Linked DNA regions of Tamandua tetradactyla. Each later gene encodes a partner of the first gene's protein in a complex. Links are inferred from orthologs where the notes say so. Each region holds a gene or a part of one and is shown on either strand. Other genes may lie near its edges.

The links.
Region 2: the proteins of GNA13 (region 1) and S1PR2 are in contact, whole or in part, in a cryo-EM structure (PDB 7T6B), measured with the Homo sapiens proteins. The link is inferred for Tamandua tetradactyla from reciprocal best matches to the Homo sapiens genes GNA13 and S1PR2. Residues at the interface, in NP_006563.2 of Homo sapiens: Arg47, Val216, Phe359, Lys363, Asp364, Ile366, Leu367, His368, Asp369, Asn370, Leu371, Gln373, Leu374, Met375, Leu376, Gln377; in NP_004221.3 of Homo sapiens: Ser66, Met68, Tyr69, Leu72, Arg130, Ala133, Ile134, Lys136, Val137, Lys138, Leu139, Tyr140, Tyr209, Ile212, Val216, Ser219, Gln227, Thr228, Leu231, Leu232, Val235, Tyr288.
Region 3: the proteins of GNA13 (region 1) and GPR35 are in contact, whole or in part, in a cryo-EM structure (PDB 8H8J), measured with the Homo sapiens proteins. The link is inferred for Tamandua tetradactyla from reciprocal best matches to the Homo sapiens genes GNA13 and GPR35. Residues at the interface, in NP_006563.2 of Homo sapiens: Lys46, Arg47, Leu48, Val49, Lys214, Asn215, Val216, Phe218, Arg331, Gln337, Gln338, Lys340, Pro341, Leu342, Tyr343, Phe359, Arg360, Asp361, Lys363, Asp364, Ile366, Leu367, His368, Asn370, Leu371, Lys372, Gln373, Leu374, Met375, Leu376; in NP_005292.2 of Homo sapiens: Phe45, Gln51, Thr53, Thr55, Met59, Asp113, Arg114, Ala117, Val118, Pro121, Leu122, Arg123, Arg125, Arg128, Ala197, Leu198, Arg201, Pro202, Thr204, Asp205, Gly207, Gln208, Ala211, Ala215, Met218, Val219, Ala280, Lys281, Glu282.

Annotation. Positions count from the first base shown.
Region 1 is NC_135332.1:8,914,278-8,921,808, forward strand, and holds the start of GNA13 (guanine nucleotide-binding protein subunit alpha-13), read left to right. Parts: upstream 1-4,522; 5' UTR 4,523-4,739; coding exon 4,740-5,022; intron 5,023-7,531. UniProt on the Homo sapiens protein: Guanine nucleotide-binding proteins (G proteins) are involved as modulators or transducers in various transmembrane signaling systems.
Region 2 is NC_135337.1:91,527,465-91,534,495, forward strand, and holds the start of S1PR2 (sphingosine 1-phosphate receptor 2), read left to right. Parts: upstream 1-4,028; 5' UTR 4,029-4,093; intron 4,094-6,600; exon of another isoform or gene 6,601-7,031. UniProt on the Homo sapiens protein: Receptor for the lysosphingolipid sphingosine 1-phosphate (S1P). S1P is a bioactive lysophospholipid that elicits diverse physiological effects on most types of cells and tissues.
Region 3 is NC_135329.1:217,652,367-217,659,862, forward strand, and holds the start of GPR35 (G-protein coupled receptor 35), read left to right. Parts: upstream 1-4,493; 5' UTR 4,494-6,431; intron 6,432-7,496. Other genes in the region: CAPN10 (calpain-10), read left to right, coding at 35-201, 479-744, 1,503-1,705, 1,831-2,563. UniProt on the Homo sapiens protein: G-protein coupled receptor that binds to several ligands including the tryptophan metabolite kynurenic acid (KYNA), lysophosphatidic acid (LPA) or 5-hydroxyindoleacetic acid (5-HIAA) with high affinity, leading to rapid and transient activation of numerous intracellular signaling pathways.

The sequences.
Region 1 (7,531 bases):
TTACAGAGGCTGAGAAAAATACAACCAGCAATTAAAGTCATGTTTTCCATTATTAACAACAACAAAAAACCACCGACAATTCAATTCCACATGTCTAGTTTCATCCGAAACGCTCCACATGAAAGACTTATTCTGGTAAGAGCACCCCCAGATTTCATTACAAAAAAAAAGGGTTGCCTTTTCAAACTTAAGTCACATTAAAGAGAACGTATGGGACTTGCATATCATGTATATATTGCCAGAGTGGGATTCCTCTCTTCTCAGTTCTTTATCAGCCACCTGGGAACATTTTACAACCCAGAGGCTAAGCTCAAAGTACTCAATATCTTCCCAGGATCAGCCTAAGGACTGGTGTGAGCCCCGAGGTGGTGTTCACCCCAAAAGGAGATGGAATAACCGACACAAAAAGAAACAAACACAACTGCTGGACTCTATGCTGCCTCGTGCTTACACAGGGTTAGCTACTTGCGTCTCAAGTTTGAACTTTTAACACCTGGGCATTCTGGCCATACTGGTATATCAGAAAGATCACTTGACTCAGAGTCAAGAGGTGGGGGTTCCAGTCCTCACTCTGCTATTGGTAAGTAAAGCTTTGAGTAAGATGTTTAAACTCCTCTTTACCTTCCTTGTGTGTCAAAAGGGAGCGAGTCTAAAGCTTACAATTCCTCGTGGGGCTATTGTGAGCAGAGAATGAGGAAAGTAGGCCAAAGTGCTTTGTTTTATTAACATTACACTAATGTAAGGGATTTATATTATGAGAGGGCCAGGGAATTCCCTTACTTTCCTAGAAGGGAAGAAAGGATGAGGTTCATGCCTATTTTATCAGTAAGAAAGGACTAGAATCCACCTATTTTATGTTAATGATGAGACAGAAGAGAGTGGCGTAATACGAATGCTGGATGTGTCATTATTTTTATTAGAAAATTAACACAAGGTTTAATCATCAAATAATGTGACTGATTTTTAAATAAACATATCTAAATGGGTGTTGTCCCATTCCAAGTCATCTTGGCAAGTGAAACACTTATTTAAATTCTATTTCTCATCATTCAGATATTTTTAAACTTCTCTTTTGGAATCCTTCCTAGAGCCTCTGGCACATTATTCTGAATATGTCTGAGGGTGACAGATTTTTGTCTTTCGTGGCTAATTCTGATTTTTGTAAACAGCCCAAGTTATTTAGCACGAGGGTTGGTAAATAAGTTCCATAATGTCACTTTTTAAAATTGAAAATAAGCTATGACTATATGGTAGGAAGAATGTTTTTCTTTCAGTAAAAAGATATTTACCTAATGTATAGACTTCCCTCCTCCCGTCTTAGCTGAAGAAGACTCCACCTTAGAACTGAAAAGAATGACCAATGGGTTTCAAGAATTGAAAGCATTGTTGGAAAGGGCTTGCGCCTTCATAAGGTGACAACATTAAAGGAGAAAGCTGCTTGGAAATGTATTTATAGTCATACCTTCCAATGTTTCTCTTGCAAAACTGAGTGCCACTAGCCTTTGTGTTTCCTGGAAGAAGAGCCCTGCAATTAACCACCCATTCCAGGAGGAATTTTTTCACACCTCCACAGGGCATCTGAATATCTCATCTGCATATAAATTGACTAACCATTTATATGTTTATAAATTTATATGTTATAAATAATATTCATTAGAAACAATATAGAAACAATAATTCTAATGAATTAACATCTGGGTCTATTGGAAATATAGTGCCCAGTATATTCAATTATAACCCATAGATTCTACACACCATTTAAAAATCTGGATTTTTCTTCAGTGATGAAACAAATCTATCTGAAAATTAAAATGTCACTAATATTATATTGTAACTTGCAGTGACTGCTACAGTAGATTTGCTTCTGGCGCAAACAATTATTAGTGTTATTTTTAAAATAAACACAATGGAACTTTCACTCTTTGAAGTTGCACATAGTATGTATTCCAACGTTAAATGATGCCGATGACTTTTCTTTTATGGAATATATTTATTTGTTCTCAAACACTCTTTTATTGGGGTAAAATTCCCATCACACAAAATTCACCTTTTTAACCATTTTAAAGTGCACAATTGTGTGGCATTTAGTATGTTCACAATGTTGTGCAGCCAACATCACTAATTCCAGGACACTCTCATCACCCCAAAAGGAAATTTTGTATCTATCGGGCAGTCACTCTCAATTCTCCCCTCAACCCCAGCACCTGGCAAATGTGAATGTGCTTTATGTCTCTATGAAATGCCTATTCTCAACATTTTATATAAATGGAATCATACACTGTGTGGCCTTCTGTGTTTGGTTGCTTTCACTTAACATGTCTTCCAGGTTCACCCATGTAGCCCATGTATCAGAACTTCATTGCTTTTTTTATGGCTGAATAATATTCTATTATATGGATATACCACATTTTGTTTTCCCATTCATTCCTTTACTGATGGGCAACTAGGTTGTTTCTCCCTTTGGCGACTGCAAAAAGTGTTTCACGTACGCTTTTTTTCTTATACACATTTTTTTGTGTACACGTTTTTGTTCGAACAACTGTTTTCAATTCCTTAGGGTATATACCTAGAAATGGAATTGTGGGGTCCTATGGTAATTCCATGTTGAACTTTTTGAGGAACTGCCAACTCCCTAACTCATTTTTATTTTCAAAATTTCCAAGGTATCAATATCACCAGACAGTTAGTTAAGAGGCAGTCGGACAGCTGAAGCCAAAGCCCAGGCTGGGCCCAAAGAGGTCTCTTTTTCAGAAACAAACCAATAGGGCAGTCAGGCTTGTTCCATGGGAAGACTACAATCAGGGCTTTGAACAGCTTTCTTTGTTACTCTACCTGTCACAACATGACTTGGCTGGGCAGGAATACCTCCTGCCTGCTAGGTACTCTTTGTTCTTCATTACATAGCACACATTAAAAAAAAAAAAGTGTATCTAATGTATAGGCTTCCCTCCTCCTGTCTCAGCTGAAGAAGACTCCAGATTTGCACCTGTAGTCCAAGCAGGAATGGTGCCTGGGGGCTGACTCTGTGCTGGTCAGGGGCGACACGTTAGGCCCTTCCTGGTTGGAGAACAGGCCTTCTGGAGCCTAGAAAGAGCTCCACCCCGTGTAGGGTATTGCACTGCCCAGGGATTCTGACCCTATCAACCTGCAGAAGAAGGCGGTGACTGCATATCGTAAACCGTCCACCCTCTGGGGTTGGTCAGGACAACCAGAGATCATTCTACTACCAGCATTGTTCACAGCAGCTAGTTTACTGAGTCACGAGGCATCTCAGTAATTAACCCAACCCCAGGAGTAAATGATCAGCACCTATTTTTTAATTACACGTGCTCGCGAGCCTCTCTGCACGCTCACCTCTCATCTCCCCCCACCGCCCTAACACACAGGAAGCTCCCCTGTTACAGGAACCCAAACCAAGGAGCACTGCGTTGCGCTGCCAAAAGCAGAGGCAGAGTAAAACGGCTTTTCCCACTTGAAACTAAACAGTAAGAATCGGCTTCCAGGGTCCTCGCTAGGTGAGTCGCTCTTCCAGCCCAGCTGTCACTCGCCAGGTTCATTCCCCAGCAGTCCTTTCAGGTGTCCTGCTCCGAATCTGCTGGGACAGAAAAGCCCCTTGGCTGGTCACATCCTCTGTAATCTAGCAGGAAACCTACGAAGTGCCTGCTCCTGTCCTCCGTCTGTTTGCTTATCTGTTTCCTCGTCGGAAGCGCCCGCAGGACAGTGTCCGGTTTAGGGGGATTTTCACCATGACCTCACCCTCCGCCGCCGTCCAGCTTCCCGCGCGGCCGGCGCGCCCGCAGTCGGGGCGCAGCTCGGAACCCACACCAGTGACACGTCTCCGAACGCCTCTCACATTAACACCAACTCCAGCTCTTCCTCCTTAAAGGAGGGCCCGTACAGAGGTCTGAGAATGCCACAAAGACCTGCAGGGGTGCGGGGGTGTGGGGTGGGAGGAGAGGATGGAATAAACACGACTTCTGGTTATGGTTCTGAGCTTGCGAGAGCAGCATGTCAACTGAGCCGCGGGGGAAAAAAAGTACCCCCAAGACTTCCAGGTGTGTTCGCCCGCCGTTTGGGTAATTTTTTTGAGTCAGTATCCTCGAAAAAGGCATGGGAACGGTGACAGCAGGCGGTGGGCACGTAACCGAAAGAAAGGGCGGCGGAGATGGCTGAAGAGAAGGGGGAGCCCAAAAGGCAGTGACCAGGCCCCGGCCGCCTGGCCTCGGGGGAGGAACCCTTCGGCCCCTAAGTGCACGCAGTTAATTAAAGGGAAACAGAAAGTCGTGCTCTGCAGGCGCACGCAGGGCCCCAAGCCGCCCGGCCCAGCCGGATGCCACGTGACAGCAGCTCCCGGCCTCCGCGCGCGCGCCGGGCGGCGGCCGCAGGCACGCGAGAGAGCCAGCCAGCGAGCGCGTGACTCATACGTCTCGGTCAGGGTGCGGGAAAGAGGCAGCAGCGTGCGTGCGCGTCTCCGGGAGACAGCGAGCGCGCGTACGCCCCGGGGCCACCGCCCCTCCCGGGCCCGCCCTCCTGCCCTCCCTCCCCGGCTCACCCGGCCCTCTCCCTGCCTGGCCCGCCCTACGAATCACTTTGCTCGTTCTCCCCTCCCCGGGTGCGCTCGGGCCGCCGCAGCGCTCTCCGCCCTCCAGCCGCCGTGCCGGAGCCGCCCGCCGCCCGAAGAGGAGGTGGAGGGAGCCGGAGGGGCCCGCCGAGGCGGCCGCGGCGGCGGCGGCGGCAAGATGGCGGACTTCCTGCCGTCGCGGTCCGTGCTGTCCGTGTGCTTCCCAGGCTGCGTGCTGACGAGCGGCGAGGCCGAGCAGCAGCGCAAGTCCAAGGAGATCGACAAATGCCTGTCCCGGGAGAAGACCTACGTAAAGCGGCTCGTGAAGATTCTGCTGCTGGGCGCGGGCGAGAGCGGCAAGTCCACCTTCCTCAAGCAGATGCGGATCATCCACGGGCAGGACTTCGACCAGCGCGCGCGCGAGGAGTTCCGCCCCACCATCTACAGCAACGTGATCAAAGGTGCCGGGCCGGGGGTCGGGGGCCGGGGACTGAGGGCCGAGCCTGAGGTCGGCGGCGGTCTGCGCGGGGCCGGCCACCGCCCTCTCCCGCTCGGTCCCTAGCGCAGGATTGGCCCGGGCGGGGAGGGGGCGCGCCCCGGGTACCAGTCGTGTCCACCCGGGACTCCTTCGCCTCCAGGTGAGGGGATCCCCGGGGGGCGTCCCGCTTTCCCCCTTGCTGCCCCTGTGGGGGTCACGACCCGTTCCCCCCCCATCCCGCCGCTAGCTTTGCTCCCTCCTAGAGGAGAGTCAGGCGAGCGGGTGTCTCAGGGTGCATGGTGACCTCGTCTGCCTTCCTCCCTCCAGATGAGGCTGGAAGACCCGAGAGCCGGCATGAGACCCTACCCCCCCCCCCACCCCGCCCCTACCCCCGCAGGTCCTGCAGCGCAAACTTCGCTGCGCGGGGTGGGTGACCGAGTCACATGGGCCGGGTCTGCGCCCAACCCCCGGCTGCCTAGGCCGCCTTCTGAGCCACGGGACTTCTGGAACCGTTGCAAGAAGAAAACTTTTATCCGAGTCTCTTGTCAAGGGCGAAGGGTGACAGCCAGTCGGTCTCTTTTGGAAAAGCATTTGATACTTAAGGGTGTCATTTTCTCTGTGTTCGATTCAGGAAAGGGTAGATCCATACGGTTACCTCTGAAAAATTAACATCCGTGGTTTTTCGCCGCATTGTCACGGTCGGGCAGGATGTTTGCCCATAGTCACTGTGCTACACGTTCCACACTGGTTTTTTGTTAAGTGGGGGGAAGTGGGGAGTGTACCATCAATTGCTTCTCCTAATTAAGTGAAATTGAGTGATAATATTAAGAATCTTTGGCCTAAGATGCCCTTGCTGTGAACCCGTTTTGGTTTGATAAGTAGGGTTGAAAAGTAAGAAAAGAGACTGATCATGCTTCTTATATAAAATGAAGACTGTTGTTATTTTATATATTTTATATATTATCTAAGTATTAGTTAATATTTATAGTAGACTTGAAGGTCTAATATTTTTATATAATAAGGATTAGAAATTAACGTTTGGGTGATATTAAAGTTTTATCTGCTCCCCCAAAAAAGAGTCTTTGGCCTAGAAAAAGGGATGTGGATTCTGTACAGGTTGAGTCACTAAATTAAGATCAGTCTCAGGTTGGGTTACAGGTTCTGCTTCTGTTTGACTGTATCTTTTTAATTAAAAAGTTAAAATTTGTCCTTAAGTGGAAAAGGCACAAAATTTTTAATTCTGGACTTAAGAGAATTAGGGAAGAATGTTTTTCTTTTGCCATTTGAAAATAATTAGCATTCATTTTTCTTAGAATCACATATTTTCTGCATAAAAAGCATTAGGACAAAACTGAGTCACAGAGCTTGGTACTTAAGGCGCATCAGGCTTCTCTTTTATCTGAGTATCATTTATCTAGGAGTTTGCCACAGATTTGGGGGCTTTTCAAACATTTTGTGGTCCCCACCCCCCTCCGCATGGGCAGGCACTGGGAATCCAACCCCCGTCTCCGTCTCCAACATGGCAGGTGAGAACTCTGCCTGCTGAGCTACCATGGCCTGCCTTGAAACGGTTTTTTAAAAATTTTTAAGTGGGATGTTCAAGAAGTACTTAAGCAACTCCTTCATGTCATTTTTTTTCTCCAAGGGTTTAGTAAAGAAGAACTCCCTGAATGGGGAGGAGCATGAAAGTGTACAGACCACTGTGAGAGCAGTTCTCTTTAACCCTGCTTAAAGTTTAGCACAAGACTAGTTAAGGTTTCTTTCAAGGCCACAGACTGTCTGCCTTACCACTCCTTAATTGAAGGTATCTTTGTATCCTGGTGCAGCTGAATTTAAGGAATTATGCTAATGAGCAGAGTCAACATGTTAACTGATCTAGAGCCAGGTAAATAACTGGTTCCTTAATGAGCATTGGATTTTGAGCATTGGTGATGAAGGCACCTAGTTTTGTTGAGTTGGCATAATCAGAAAATTGACAGAAAAATAGTTTTCTAGATACCCAAAAAATGGTTTCCAATAGGCATGTGACTGTGAAGATGGACAAATAAGTAACAGTTTAGTGATTGACTTTTGGGTTTGAACAAACCTCAGTGAGTTGCAGTCCCTATTTTTATCTCATTTTGTAGTTGAGTCTTCCTTTCAGAGATTCCAAAGACCATTCTGTGATGTACAGTATTTTGAAGTTTGATTTGGGAGAAGTTTCTGAGTTTTTTCTGTTCCCAGCAGACACAGTGTTGCGGTAGACAGGGTGCTGAGGGAACAAATAGAATGCAGAGTGATAATGATTGGGTCCTTGGCATTTCATAAATAAATGTCTTTTTGGTTAGGCTCATAAAATTCTGGTTGTAGCCTTTTTCTTAAGAGCCTGAACACCAGGCCCGGCAGTATTTATTTTTTTCCTTCCTTGGTTTTAGTTCCCTTGTGATCACCTTCTACCCCAGAAATCTTAAGTTTTATAAATTAAAACATGTTAAAATCCTTCAAAAGAGCAG
Region 2 (7,031 bases), on another chromosome or scaffold:
TGGTTGGTTACATTTTGGGTTGTGCAAGCCTCACCGCCATCGGTACCAAAACTTTTCCATTGCCCCAGATGGAAACTCCGTGCCCATTAGCTGTGAGCTCTGGTTGCGCTGTGTGCAAAAGCTCTTAGCACAGTACCTGCAGCTGTTAAAATTATTATGCTGGGGAGGGTTTGCAGAAAGGACGGCGTCCTCTGCCTTCCCCACTCCCCCCCACCCCTCCCGGGCCTGAGGGACCCCAAGGCTTGGGGTGGAGACGTGGCATGACCGGCCTCCCCACCCCGTCCCTGTAGCTGAAAGTGGGCCCCGAGCCCGGGGCCTGCAGAGGCGGCTGCTGTTCAGGGCCTGCCAAGCGCAGCATCTGGAAAGCTTCTCGGCAGCCCTGGGGCCCCTTTTCCCCAAGCACAGGGACTCGGCTCAGATACTTCTCCTCCTGCAGTTCCTCCTGCCAAACGCCGAGACCTGGTGGGGGCTGGAGGGGGGTTCATGGAGGCCCGGGCAGGATGACGACAGACCTGGGGCTCCTTTGATTTGGGGGTGCTCACAGAATTTGGGGATGAGACGGAATCGGAGAGTAGAGGTTCCACATGTCATCATGGACCCAGGTGGTCCTTTGCGCTCCCCATTGTTCTACTTTTGTGTGTGTGTGTGTGTGTGTGTGTGTGTGTGTGTGTGTGTGTGTGGTTTGGGAATTGAACCTGGTCTCCTGCAGGGCAGGGGAGCATTCTACCACTGAGCCACCCGTGCACCCACCACGGTCCTTTGTCCTGACCCCCTGAGGGAAGGATGCATGTGGAGGGGGGTGCCACTGCCTAGAGGCTGGGGGGCCGGGGTGGGGGCTTAGCTTGAACAAGAGCGTGGCTGGGTGGAGAGGGCCCAAACAGTGCTAGTTCGAATCTCACCTGAGCTCTGTGCCTCAGTTTCCTCATCCTTCAAATGGGGTGTCATTCCTCTGCCCGGGAGCTCCCGAAGAAGAGGGCGCCGTTTCCTTCCTCTCCCACTGCTCCCTCACCCGGGGGCTCCCCAAGGCAGGGCCCAGTTCTCTTCCTGACCCCTCTCTGCTGCCCCCAGGCCCTCAGGAAGTCCAGGCCTCCTGTTTTCCAGTTCTCCAGCTCTTTCCCCACCGCTGACCCAGTCGTGACCCCTTGCTGCCCCAGAAATAGGAGGGAGGTGGAAGTGGCCTGTCGGTGTTTCTGGGTGTCCCTGGGGACATCACCTTTGTCTGGAGTCCACAGTCCCTCTGGCAGACGGCCGGATATGTCTGTGGCCTTGATATCACCCCCCTCCTTCCCCAACCACGGTCCCTGGAGAAACTGCAAACTGCTGAGCCAGCCAAGGCGAGAGTGTGTGCGTGGGGAAGTTGGGGGGGAGCACTTCCTCCCCCCCGAGATTTCCGCTCCGATAGCTCCCCAGCGAGGAGAGGACCCAGTTCTTTTTTTTTGCGCCTGGTCCTTTGTGGGTGAGACACCTGGTTTCTTGAGATTGTCAAGGCAACGCATCTCAATCAGCAGAAGATGCAGCAAGGTCTGGCTAAAGCTGGAGCAGACCCCAGATACAGCCCTCAGCTGGCTGTATCCCCAAGATCAGACTGAAGTGGATCCTGAAGCCTGGCTCAGGAAAAGGCGGGGTGTCCGGAGTTGCAGCCGGTCACCCTCTGATTTTCTTTATTCCCCCGTGAAAGCCTCTCTACCTTGCAGCTTTCTTCTCTGGCTCCTCCACGATACTCTCAGCCTGTGATAGAATCCATTGCACGATCACCACTTGATAAACCGTGTTTATCAAATGCACTCCTATGTTGCTTAACATCATTATCTTTACTAATAATTTAAATATATTTATTTTTAATAATTTAATTTAATTTAATAATTTAAATATATTTATTTTTAATGCACACGTGTTCATTAATGTCCACATGTTGGGTAATAACGTTGATATGTTTATCAACAATACTATTTCTTAGGAATATTATTGATGTTATTAATTATTATTCTTACGGGGACTAGTTTACAACTTGAAGGCCAGTCATGTGCTACTTGTGATTTTGCACGTCTTGGTACATATTTTGAATTGGTAGCGTGGGATAAAATTTCCAAACAGCTCCTTAGCGTGCACCGTTAAAAAGTCTATCTCCCAACCCCCACCTGGTCCCCCAGTCTGCCCTCCTGAGGGCAACAGCTGTAACCGGTATTTTGTGTCACCTACCAGAGATGAATGCACAGGCAAATATGTGTGTATTTATACGGTTTTTATAAATACGCTCAGAAACGCAGGCAAGCAGCTCACACTGAGGTGCCCTGTGCTTCTCTCAACTAAAGACATGTGTACGTGCTTACAAGATGAGTCTATTTTTACTGTTTAACAGACATATGTGGATCCATTTTATTTCCCTTTTCTGTCATTTTGCTTTTTGGACAGTCTTTATTGAAAGATAAGATACATGCACAAGAGTGCACAAAACGGGCCCTCCTTTGAATCGGTTGTACTGCTCCAGATGAGGCAGCTTAGACGTTTTAATTTATTGTTGCAACAGGACAAGTATACACATGTTACAAAAGTCAAAAGGGAACAAAAGGGTTCAAAGAGTGAAATCAACCTCACTCTTATCCCCCATCTATCCCTTGTCATTCAATCCTTATCCCAGGAGGCAAAACCTGATGAGATTCCTCCTGGAATCTTCTGGATGCTCTGTGCACATACAAGAAAACATTAGCTCCATGGGGGCAGGGAGCTTTGTCCATTTTGTTTCCCCATTGACTCCAGCATACAGAACATTCCTTAAATAAAGAAGCACGCTCTGTATTCATTTTCGCAAGTGATAGCATAATTTCCGCGAGCCTCTTTTTTCTATAGATACCAGTTTTCAGAGCCGTTGTCGGTTTACAGAAAAATCACACAGAAAGTTCAGAATTCCCATATAACCCCCTCCCATAAATGTTAAAATACTAATAACATTTTGCTTTGGTGTGACATTTTGTTCCAACCGATGAGCCAATGTTGTTATAACTACACTATTGTAAAATCCATAGGGTACAGTAAGTAGTATTCACCCTTTGGTGATTTTTTTTCTTCCTATTTTATCCACCCTTGTGCTCTGGCTCCTGGAACAATACATGACAACCAAGAAGTGTTCCATAAAACAATTTGTCAAAAGGAATGAGGGACTTTTTATCCTGTCGTCTGGCCACGGGTTTCATACACACACACATGCACACACACAGGTACACAAGCATCAGTAAATGAAGACGCGCTTTGATTCAGCAGCCTGATGTACAGATGTGACCAGAAAAAGTTGAATGAGGGAAGCAGGGGGAAGCTAGAGTATCAGGAGGAAGAGTGAACCCCAATTTGGAAGGCCATGTGCAGCCTGGGCCTGCTGGTCGACCACAGCAAGGTGGGATAGTGCTGTAAGGAGAGGCAGGGTAAATTGCTGGGGTTTCCCAAATGTCCTGGGGGCAGGGTGCAGCGCCTGAGCTCTCCGGGGCATGTCAAGGCAAAGACCAATTCTGCATTTGAGATAAGGTGTGACACCTAGTAGCACCTTTGATCATTTGCTGGACAGCCACACAGTAGGCACTTAAAGCTACTTGCTGCACTGACACATGGGTGCATCGTGACTTCTTGTCGACCAAATAAAGGGGATCCCGGGATCTCCAGTTCTAGGGTCGCAGGGATGGGCCAAGTGTACACCTGGAGCTGAAGACAGGTCGTTTCAGGTTAAGGCCACCTGGCCAGGGGCGCCGTGACGTCACTGGAGTGCGTGACGTCACATGCAGTGGGTTCTCACGGGTGGGGGCCGGGCGGGGGGGGCGGACAAAGGGGCTCCTCGCACCGCCCCACTCGTCTCCCGCGCGCGCGCCCCGGCCGGCCGGCCACATCTGGAATTCATTGCAGCCGCCGCCGGAAAGGGGAGGAGAGGAGGGCGGGGCGAGAGGGGAGCCGAGACAGCGGCTGTCCGCGTCCCGCCTCCGTCCCCGGTCCCCAGCCCCGGGACGCAGCCCAGCGCGGCTGGCAGCCTCAGCCCCAGGCGCGTCCGTCCCGGGCACGCGGACGCCGAGGCCCCTCCGGCCAGGGCAGGGCCCCGGGCCGGCCTAGCCAGGTGAGTGCGCGGGGCAAGGCGGAGGGAGGCAGAAAGGGCGGGCCCCCGGCTCCTGAGGTCGCGGGATCCGAGCTGGGGGGGGGGTCCGGCTGGGGGTCCTGTTGCACCAGGGAGCACCCATGCAGCCCGTGCTGCGGCTGCACGCAGCGGGTGGTGCCCGGGCGCCCTCTCCATGACTCCAGGCTGCGCCCACTCTGTCGGCCGCGAACCCCCAGGCTGCGCTCCCCGCCTCCCCCAGCGGCAGGAAGTTGGCGCCAAGGAGAAGGCGGAATTCTTGTACTTTCGGCCCGAGACGCTGCGAGGGGGGACAGGGCGGCCGGGGACCGGGAATTTGGGGTGTGTTGGGGGGGCCGTAGAGCGCCCCTCCTGGCTGACCCGGGCTGGGCGAGGGCGAAAGGTGATGCGCGTCGCGGAGCGGTGGAGTCGAGGGGCTGGATCCGCGGGGAGGGCGGGCGCCCACCGCCTGCACGTCCACCTCTCTGCCTCAGTTTCCTCACACTGTCCGCCTCCTCCAGTCCCTCCTGCGAGGGCGTGGCTTTGCTCTAGAAGACAAGGCAGCGTGACTGCTTGGCTCCGGCGCCTCCTCCTTCCCCCAGACCCCGGGGATGAGGCTTGGGTGCAGGCCGCGCGTGCCGCGGATCCGGCGTGTTCGCGGGCCCGACGGAGCGCCCTCAGCTCGCCCCCTCCTCCGGCACGGGCTGATTCACCCGGGGATTTCCACCCTCCTCCCCCGTTTCTGCCCTTATCAGAGGCTCCGGGAGCCACGCGCTGAGTCCACGGGCCCCACCGTCGCGTGACGCGGGCGCGGCACTCGAGGGGCTGCGGCCGCTTGGGTCTCCCTTTCCCCAGCCGGGAAAGGAAATCTCGAGGCCGGGGCCCTGGCGGAGAGGAGACGTCCACCCCCAGCTCCACCAGGAGGCGTGGGGATCCTGCGCGTGTGGCCGTGGCGGGAGAGGGGAGCCGCGGCCTTAGAGCCAGCGAGTGTGGATACCGCGCATTCCTTGGGCAGATAAGGGAGGCCGAGAGGGCGGCCCAGGGCGGGGGCGGGGCCTGCTGCTGTCTCCATGGAGACGCGCCGGGCTTCACCCGCTGGGGGTAGGGTGGGCTGCGAGCGCGAGTCCCAGAGGCAGGTCGACCTCCTCTGCTGTGACTTTGGGCGGGGGCTGTGCTAGGGGCCTCCCCCCTCGGGGGGTCCACCGGGGTCCCCTCATCCATCCATCCATCCATCCATCCATCCACCCATCCATCCATCCACTCATTCATTCATTCATTCATTCTCTGAGCGCCATCTGAGCACCGGAAGGCCTTGGTGGCTGGTCTCCCGGCACACACATTTCTACCGAGGCAGCCAGAGAGAAAAGAGATACCATGATAATTTCCGATAGTGGCAAGAGCTGTGAAGATAAAAAAAAGCAAGTTGCTGTGCTAGAAGAAGGCCCGGGGAAAAGGCCCCCACTCTAGACCCCTAGTCGGGGGCGGGGGGAGGGGCGACCCTGAGAAAGTGACATTTAAACAGGAACCTGAAGATTAAGGACATCTGAGGGAGGAATGCGTGCCGCATCTAGGTGGAGAGGAGTAATCGGCAGTGGTTGGGGAGAGGGGAGGGGGAGGAGACCAGGCGGGGAGGAGCCCAGCATTCGGGGCTGCAGGGAGCCATGGAAGAATTCGGACCTGGGCAGTGACATACTGAATTTATAAATTATAAAGCTCCCCCTGGCTGCTGCGTGGAGAACAGCATGTTGGGGGGGGGGGCTGACCTCAGGAGGGAAACCAAAAGAGAGGGTGGGGACTTCCCTAGGGCAGGGGCCGCGGGGTCGGTGGGGACCCCAAGGGAGCTGCAACCACAGGGTCTGTCTATGTGGAACTGGAGGGCTGGCGGGCTGCGGGGGAGGCTGGAAGCCACCGAACCGTCCTCCCGCCTTCCTCTTGTCTACTCTTCTACCCCACAGTCCTATGTCCCTTCCTTTCCCTCCGGATCTTGTCACTTGTCCTGTCATTTCAGGCCTGGCCCTTCGATCTCCCGTTCTGAGCCCTTCGACCTCTTCCTGAGTCTCTGGGAGGGTCAGGCCAGCTTTGGGAAGGCGCTCAGAGGACAGGCCTGGGACACGGACCCTGGGATGGGGAAGCGGGCAAGGTCTCTATCCGCCTGGGTGTAATTCCTGTAAGCCCCGGTCTCCGCCCTTGCATCCTCTTTCTGAGAAGCAAGACTGCTGGCCTTGTATGTTTTCCTCTAGTAAGGCCAAGTGGAAAGGATGCGACCCAGGAGGCGCTGTTGGCCTCAGTTTCCCCTTTTCTGATTGCTAGAGCTGCCCCTCCCCCTCGAAGGTGGGACCGCGGTGCCCTCTGTGTGTCCCCTTCCCCCAGAGAAGACAGGTTTTTTTGGGTCAGTCCTGGGGTGTGAGGGCTGAACCCATTTCTTAAGGCCCCAGAAAACGATCATAAATCTTTCTCCAGGCCGCCAGAGCGGAGGAGGGTGCCCGTCCCCACGTGAGCCCTGGAAAGCGGCAGCACGCCCTGGGCTTCTCGCCCACCAGCAAGCATGGTTCCCAGGCCTGCGACAGGGACCTTAATTCCCAATTGCGCCGGCAGGCCAGGCCAGCCCGGGGGCGTCTGGTCGGGGTGACCCAGCGGTCAGGCTGCGGCTCCAGCTCTCCGGCTACGACCGCACAGTCTTGACTCCTACCCCGGCCGCCTGTGAACTACCCGCTCCGGTTCTAACCGCAGAAGCGCCCCCAACGGGGCCAATCAGATGCCGAGGATGGCGAGCTCAGGCCAATAGGCGAGCCGCTCAGTGCCCTGGGATTGAAAATGAGCCAATCAAGGCGCGGGCTGTTTCCGGCCTCGACCGCCTGCCGGAAGAGGCCGCGCGCACTGGACGGAGTCAGCCCCCTGGGTCGGCCGCGGCGGGCAGAGGGCATCGGGGCGCCCGGGGCCCTGT
Region 3 (7,496 bases), on another chromosome or scaffold:
TCAGGGAGCTCCGTTGAGCCCAGGCTCCCTCCAGGGGTGAAGGGTGGAGCCAGGTAGACCCGGCGGAGAAGCTGCAGCTGCTTTCCCAGCTCCAGGACGGGGAGTTCTGGGTCGAGGAGGCAGAGTTCCTCAGGGAGTTTGATGAGGTCACCGTTGGCTGTCTTGTCACAGAGGCTGGCCACCTGCTGAGCCTCCACACAGGTAACAGGCCGGACCCTTGATGCAGGACACTACTCCCGAGCCAGGTGGCCTTCGGGTCGGGGGTCAGACCTGGGGCTCCCCCTCTTACAGCAGGGGCAGTGCTTGCCCTGGCCCCGTTTTGCTTTTCATCCAGCCTCTTTCCCACCCCGGGCTGCTTGAGGAGGTGGGGAGCACGGGGCCCATCTGTTGTGTTTCCACCCCTTTCCCCGCGCACAGAGGGATGGTGCCGGTGTAGAGCTGTGGCCCAGAGCCCACCTGCCTTGTGTTTCTGCACTAGCAAAGGTGTTATGCCATACTCAGACGCTGCCTGGGGCCTGGATCCGCGGGCATTCGGCAGGAGGTTGCCGGAACAACAGCAGTTTTCCCAGCAACCCCAAGTTCTGGCTGCGGGTCTCAGAACCCAGCGAGGTGTGCATCGCCCTCCTGCAGAGACCTGGGGTGCGCCCAGCTGACTACACCCCCATGGGAGACGACCGTGCAGCTCAGAGCCACTTCAGGGCCCTGGGCAAGGACTACCGGGCCGTGGGCCTACACGTCTGGAAGGTAACTTGGCCGGGCTGGCACCCCCTCGCGGGATGAGGGCGAGGACGCCCAGTGTTGGGGTTCAGATGCCTGTCACTCCCTGCACAGTGTCAGTGTAGCATGACAGGAGCTGTCTACCCGGGGACCAGACCCCTGCCTGGGAGCAGAAGAGATGGGGGCAGGACAGCGGTTCTGCCTCCAGGGATTTTCCCCCAGCCCTGAGCTTCCTCTGCAGCCCCTGTGTCCTCGCCTACGCAGCAGGGCTGGTAACCAGCCTGGTTGTTTGCAGGATGAGTTAATAGGGCAGGATGCTTCCATTGCAACCTGGGCCCTCAGCAAGAGCTGCTGGAGGCGCCCACCCAGCTCTGCTCTGCGAGGGCCAGAGCTCTAAGTTTGGGGCAGGTGTGGGCCCCCATTGTGGGCTGCTTGGTTTTTAACCTCACAAATCCTCATGGGTCTCATGGCCCACGGCAGTGCTTACCCGTAGTGGGTGCGACCTGGCAGTGTTCCCTTCCTCTGGCTAAGGGAGTACCAGAGTGTCCTTTGCCCAGCAGCCCATTTGCACAGCCGCAAGTTCCTTTTGGGTACAGCTCATCTTGTCCCTCCATTTCCTTCCTGGGCGGGCATCTGACGGGACTGCGTGGCTGGTCCTTGAGAGGATAGGTCATGGGGCTGGCAGGCCGGGCACCCTGCTCCATTCCCTCGTTTGGCGAGAGACCCTTCGGCTCCAGCAGCATGCCAAGATCACCCCTCTGCTGACCCCTCCCTGCCTCCCTCAGGTGGAGGGGCAGCGCATAAGCCTGCCCAGGGTCCTGTCCACGCCTCCCGTGGCCGGCACCAGCTGCCACGCATATGACCGCGAGGTCTGCCTCCGCTGTGAGCTCTCTCCAGGCTTCTACCTGGTCGTCCCCAGCACCTTCCTGAAGGACATGCCTGGCCAGTTTCTTCTCCGGGTGTTTTCTACTGGCAGGGTCTCCCTCAGGTGAGGAACAGGAGGCTCCCTGAGGCATGTGGGGGGTCTGCTTTGCCCACGCCTGTGACACGTGATCATATGGGCCACCCACCACCGGCTGCCCCCAAAACTTCTGTTGCTTTCTCCCCTGGCAGTGCCATCAAGCCAGCGCCCGGGAGCCCTGTGTCCCAGCAGCTGCGCCCTGCCGGAGAGTGGGAGACCGTGCGGCTGCAGGGCTGCTGGAGAGTCGGCCAGAGTGCGGGGGGCAGCAGGAACTTTGCCTCCTACTCCACCAACCCTTGGCTCCCCCTCTCTGTCCCTGAGGGTGTGGGATCGCGCTGTGTCCGCATCACTCTGCACCAGCACTGCCCAGACAGCGAGTGGCGCCCCATCGGCTTCCACATCTTCCAGGCAGGCTGCACAGTGGGTGGCTCATGTGGGGGCTTCCTGGGTGTCTGGATGTTGAGGCCACCTGTCCGCGTGCTGGTCTGGACATCAGGAAGTGGATGTACGGCTGTGCCAGCCCTCACCGTGGATGAAGTGTGGTCGTGGGCAGGTCTCCTGGGTGACTGGGGAGAGAGCCAGGACAGGGCTATGCTATTCCCTGGTCCTTCTTGCCCTGGCGGTATCTCGGGAGATGGCAGAGCCTTGGACTCTAGTTTGGGCGCTGTGACTTGGTTGGCCATCATCCCTGGGTGTCATGAGGCCTGGCTCAGAGCAGCTGTTTCCACAGCCTATTGTTCTCTCAGAACCTCCGAGGTTGGAGAACAGGCTGGCTCTGAGGGCTGCTGCAGCAGAGCTCTGGGTGGAGATCCTGGCAGGAGACCTGCCATGAAGGAGTTGAAGAGACCACCCCAGGCAGCACTTAGGGGGCCGACCAGGCCCTAGAGCCCCCATGCAGTCCCAGCCTCCAGGCGGGAAGCTCATGTGGGGCTTCAGCAACCTGCCTGTGGCGGGGGAGACAAGCGGGGTGGGTCCCACAGAAACTCTAGGGCTAGGTGGCTTAACTGTCTTCCTGTCAATCTAGAATGGGAGCCTATCCCTAAGTACCCTGGAGTGTACCCGTGGAGAAGTGGGTGTGGGCATCCTGGGCGGCAGATGTGGCAGAGGGTGTCCTGTGCCCTTTGGTGGGCAGGGCTGCTGCCTTAGCGAGCCACCCAGCAACCTCCTAGAACCTGCTTCCCTCCCCGGGCTGTTTGTCAGGGTCCAGGTGAATCTTCTCTGGGCATTAGTGGGTTTTCCAACTAAAGCCCCTGGTGATTCATTGGTGTAGCCAGGTTGGGAAGAGTGCCCAGTCTGCCAGGGTCTTGGTGGCCCTCAGGAGGTATGGCGTGGGGGCAGGGACTAAGCCTCCTGAGAGCCAAGCAGGCAGGGCCAAGCTGCCACTAACTAGAAGGGGAACCCCAGCTAGGAGCTGGGACAAGTGTCCTCTGCTTGGGCTGCTTTGGAGCCTAAGCGGGAACCCTGAGGTTCTGTGGCAGAGGAGGGCTCTGTATCTCTGCCATGGCCCATCAGCCCTGTGCCTGGACTGCAGACACTGGGCAGCCTGCCCCCGCTTAGCCCCTGCCTCTCCCTAGGTTCCAGGCAGTGGCCAGGACAAGCCCTCCCTGCTGTGCCAGGAGCCGCTGCTTAGCTGTGTGCCACATCGCCACGCCCAGGAAGTGAGCCAGCTGTGCCACCTGTCAGCGGGCACCTATGGGATTGTGCCCTCCACTTACTTGCCTGACATGGAGGGAGCCTTCACGGTCACCATAGCAACCAGGATAGACAGGTGGCCTCTGAGGCTGAAGAGGGCAGGGGCTGTTGGCACCCTAGACACGGCTCCCACCTTCCCCTCCCCTCCCCCTGCCTGGGACACCCTGTGGGGCCTGGCTGAGCCGTGGGCAGTGAACCTAGTGTGCGGTGGGGCTGGGAGTGCTGCCCTGTGGGTGTGGGGGAGGTGCCAAGGGGCCCCAGGACTGTGGGGTGACTGTGGGGCCCTTTCCCATAGGCCGTCCATTCAGAGCCGGGAGAGACTGGGCCAACTCCTTCAGGAGGTAGGTGGGGGCCCGGGAGGCTGGCCCAGTCGCCTGCCCTGGGGGCACCAGGAGCTGCCTTCAGGCCCGGGAGGTGGGAAGAGGGCATCACGCCCCCCACTGCCCTTGGGAAGGAGCAGACACAGCTGCTGCCCAGCACTCCCACTCCCCACTTTCCTCTCACAGGCTTCCTTTAGGGCTGTGATGCAAACCTAAGGGGAGGACCAGCTCGGTGATGGGGGACCAGACCGGGCAGCTACCGTGCCCTGGCATAGCAGTTCCTGGACAGCTTGGACCCATGGCCACCTCTGCCCACTGCCAGCCAGGCTAACCCTCTCCTCCACTGGGCAGCTGCAGTGCCTGATGATGCCAAGCAGAGCGCCCTTTGGGGAACAGTGGGTCTTGTCCTGCAAGGGGAGGCAGCCCCTGGGCTGCTCAGAATTGCCTGGAGTCAGGCAGGTGCTGTGAGGAGGGCAGGAGACCCTCATGTACACAGACAGCAGACATGCCGGGTCCCCTGTGCCTAGCACTTGAGAGCACCCACCCCTCTCCTGCATCATCATGTCAGTTCCAGCAGAGGCCTCACTCCCCTAAGCGTGCATTGCAGCACATCTTGTAAAACTTGAACTTACTGTTACTTGAGGCATTTCTAAGATGTAATTTTATAAACACGTGATCTCTGGGCAGCTCACAGGTGATTTGTTTTCAAGTAACCCTGAGAGGTGCAGCAACCCTGCTGTTTCTGAGCTGGGGCTCTGGGAGGGGAGGTTGGGGGTAGGGGGCTCTCAAAGGGTGAGGGGCAGTGGGGTGCCAAGACAGAGGTGCTGCCTGGGTCTGCGGAGTAAAGGGCCGTCCTGGTCACATGCAGGACACACCCAGGAGCTGACAGCTGGAGGGCAGCCTGTTGTCCAGTACGCTTGTCACCAGCACCCCTGTCCTTCCTGTATCTGGGCAGATGACAGCTGTGGTCACTCTGGTGAGAGGACTTGGCCTGAGGCTCCTGGGAGAGGTCAGCCCACAGAGCTGTGCTGCCCTTGGGGCCCTGGAGTCCCTGGCACATGACCCCTGCAGCGAGCCCTTTCAGGAGCTGGGCTTAGGGGACCAGGGGCCACTGAGTTCTCTTCCCTGCCTCAGAGCCCCTTCTGGAAGTGGGCTTTTCACCAGACACCCTGCTGAACCCAACTGTCCCGGTGCATCTCCCGTTGCCCAGCTGATGGGCCAGGCTGGGGACCCACTGCAGGCACCTGGGGAGGGCGGCCAGAACACGGGGGCTGCTCTGGTCCCCATGCCCCATCCTGGAGAGGCCTCTGGGGCTGCACTCGAGTTGTGGCCCTTGCACTTCCTGTCTGTTAAGTCTGAAAGCGTCTGTCTGTCCGTCCCTTAAGCCATCATCTGTCAGTAAGAATCAGCTTCTATCCACTTTTTCTCTGCAAGGCAGTTGAATAGTAAAACATTGCTCCCCCTGGGACAGGGCTTCCCTACCCCAGCACCTCTCTCACACACACACACCCAGGGCCAGGCAGCTGGAACCCTAGAATCCTCTGGTCCAAGGCTGGGCCCACCTCAACATCCTGTTCCTGGGCTTTTCCCTGGTGTCCTGGCCCCGGATGTGCCTGCCGGGTGGGGGCTGCTCGGCCCAGCTCTGTCAAGGAGGAAACCACAGTGGTCCAGGCAGGAACCCTGTCCTGGTGACACTCTTGGGGCCTTAGAAACCTCTGGCTTCCACCTACCCCCTCCTGCCAGACCGAAGCCCAGGCCCATTTGGGATGGCCAGGTGAAACTCAGGTTGCACATTACGGGTTGCCCCGCAGGCTTGGGGCACCAGGACCAGCTGCCATCCCCTCCTCGTGCTGACCAGCCCCACTCTGGGATCCCCCCCCCCCCCAGCCTGGCTCAGGGGCCCATGAATGGCACCAGTCTGAGGCTCCATGGCAGGGGCCACACCCTGGCCCAGGGGTGGGGGTAGAGCTTTGCAAATCCAGTGGTAGTGCACAACGCTGGGCCCACTGGGGCTGCTGGCAGGTCTCCGGCCAGGCAGATGTGGTTGTGGGCAGGCGAGCACACCTCCCGTCCTCCCACCTTTCCCAACTTTCCTGCAGACTCTGCCCCCGCCAGCATGCAGGTTCCCTCCCAGTGTCACTTCCTGCTTCAGGTGCTGCAAGTGCCTGCTCCACCCTCTCTGATTGGGGGCAGCCTTGGGACAGAGCTCCTGAGGTGAGTCTGGAGGGCAGGTGGACATGGCAGGGGGTGGAGGAGGGGCAGTGGTTCTGGGCAGGAGGCCCTGGCCAGAGCCATGGTGGGTGTTCCCGGCTCTGCACCCTCCCATGCCTCCCTGCGCACTTAGCGGCCCACCTTGGGAGCTGCTCCCGCCTCTTTCTCCTGCCTGCCCCCCTGGCTTTGCTCTTGTTTTTTACCAGCCTTAATCTTTACCAAAGTTAACCTAGCTGTGTGGCCTTTTGACATATTTTATTCCCGGACCCTCCAACATGAGGCCCAGGGGAGGCAGCTGCTTGGGAGGGTCGTGAGGTCTTTTCTTGTCTGGAGGGGGCAGCAGGAGGCTCCTGCCTGCCAGAGGTGCTGGGAAGGCGCTCAACCCGCAGCCATCAGACCGTCCACGCTGGGACGCTCTGGCCGTTTCTTCTGATTCCCAACAAGGACAGGCCATGTCCACCCAGATGGCGCCTCCGCGGCTGGGCTGGGGACCAAGGCCTGCTCGGGACCGCGCCGGAGGCTCAGTCCCGGTACGTGCAGGGATCCCTGCAGCGTGGGCCCCACCCACAGGGCACAGGGCCAAGCCGGCCCCTTCCTTGGCACCTACACGAGTCGGCCGCGAGGCAAGGGTGCTGGGTGGGGAGCAGGCTGCTGGAGGACCCCATCAGGGCTGGTGCTGTCTCCGACTCCGGGTGGTGTCTGTGCATCGTGCAATGTCTCTGTGTCCAGCCGGCCCCAGTGAGAAGACAGCCTGGGGCTGCTGATCACCCCCCCAATGCTAGAGACGCTGGGTAAGCGCTGGGGGTGGGGCACTGCACGCGGCCTTAGGATTGTCCTCTGCACGTGGGTCGTCTTGACGGCCTTGACAGTGGGGTGGCGAACAAGCTGGTGGCTGCCAGGGACGGGACCACCCCAGAAGCACACCTGGGCTCCTTCAGGTGGGGGCCTCTGGGGGGGGCCAGGCACACTGAACCTGGAGAGGCAGCAGAGGCTGTGGCCATAGGGGCGTTTGGGCCATATCTCCCGGGCAGAGCCTCGCATGGTATTTCTGGAACTCTCCCTGCTGAAGTCTTGGGGTACCTCGGGGATCCACCAGGAAGGCGGCTGCCGCCATCGGGCATAGGCGGGGGCGGGAAACCGGGGAAGAGGCGCTGCTGGGGGGCAGACTTCCCCTAGCCCCAGGGCGCACCTCTCCGGCTGGTAGGTCTCTGCTGTTCCCCTCAGTGTTTTGCAGCTTCTAGCATGCATGTTTTGCATGTTTTCTTAAGTAGCTTGTTTTTTGATGGCTTTGTAGTTACAATTCTTTCCAACATTTGTTCCTTGCTGGCACATAGAAATGCAATTGCGGGTGGGTTGGTGGTTTTGTTTTTGTTTTGTTTTATTTTTGATACATTAACCTTGTATCCTGTAACCTTGGTAAATTCAATTATTAGTTCAAATAATTCCTTAGGATTTATAACATATATGATTATGTCATTGAGAAAATAGAATTCAACTTCTTCCTTTCCTATATAAATGTGTTTTTTCTCTTTTTTTGCCTTATTTCCACTTCAACACTGTTTTGGATTGAAGCGGCAGGAGTGACTGGCAGCCCC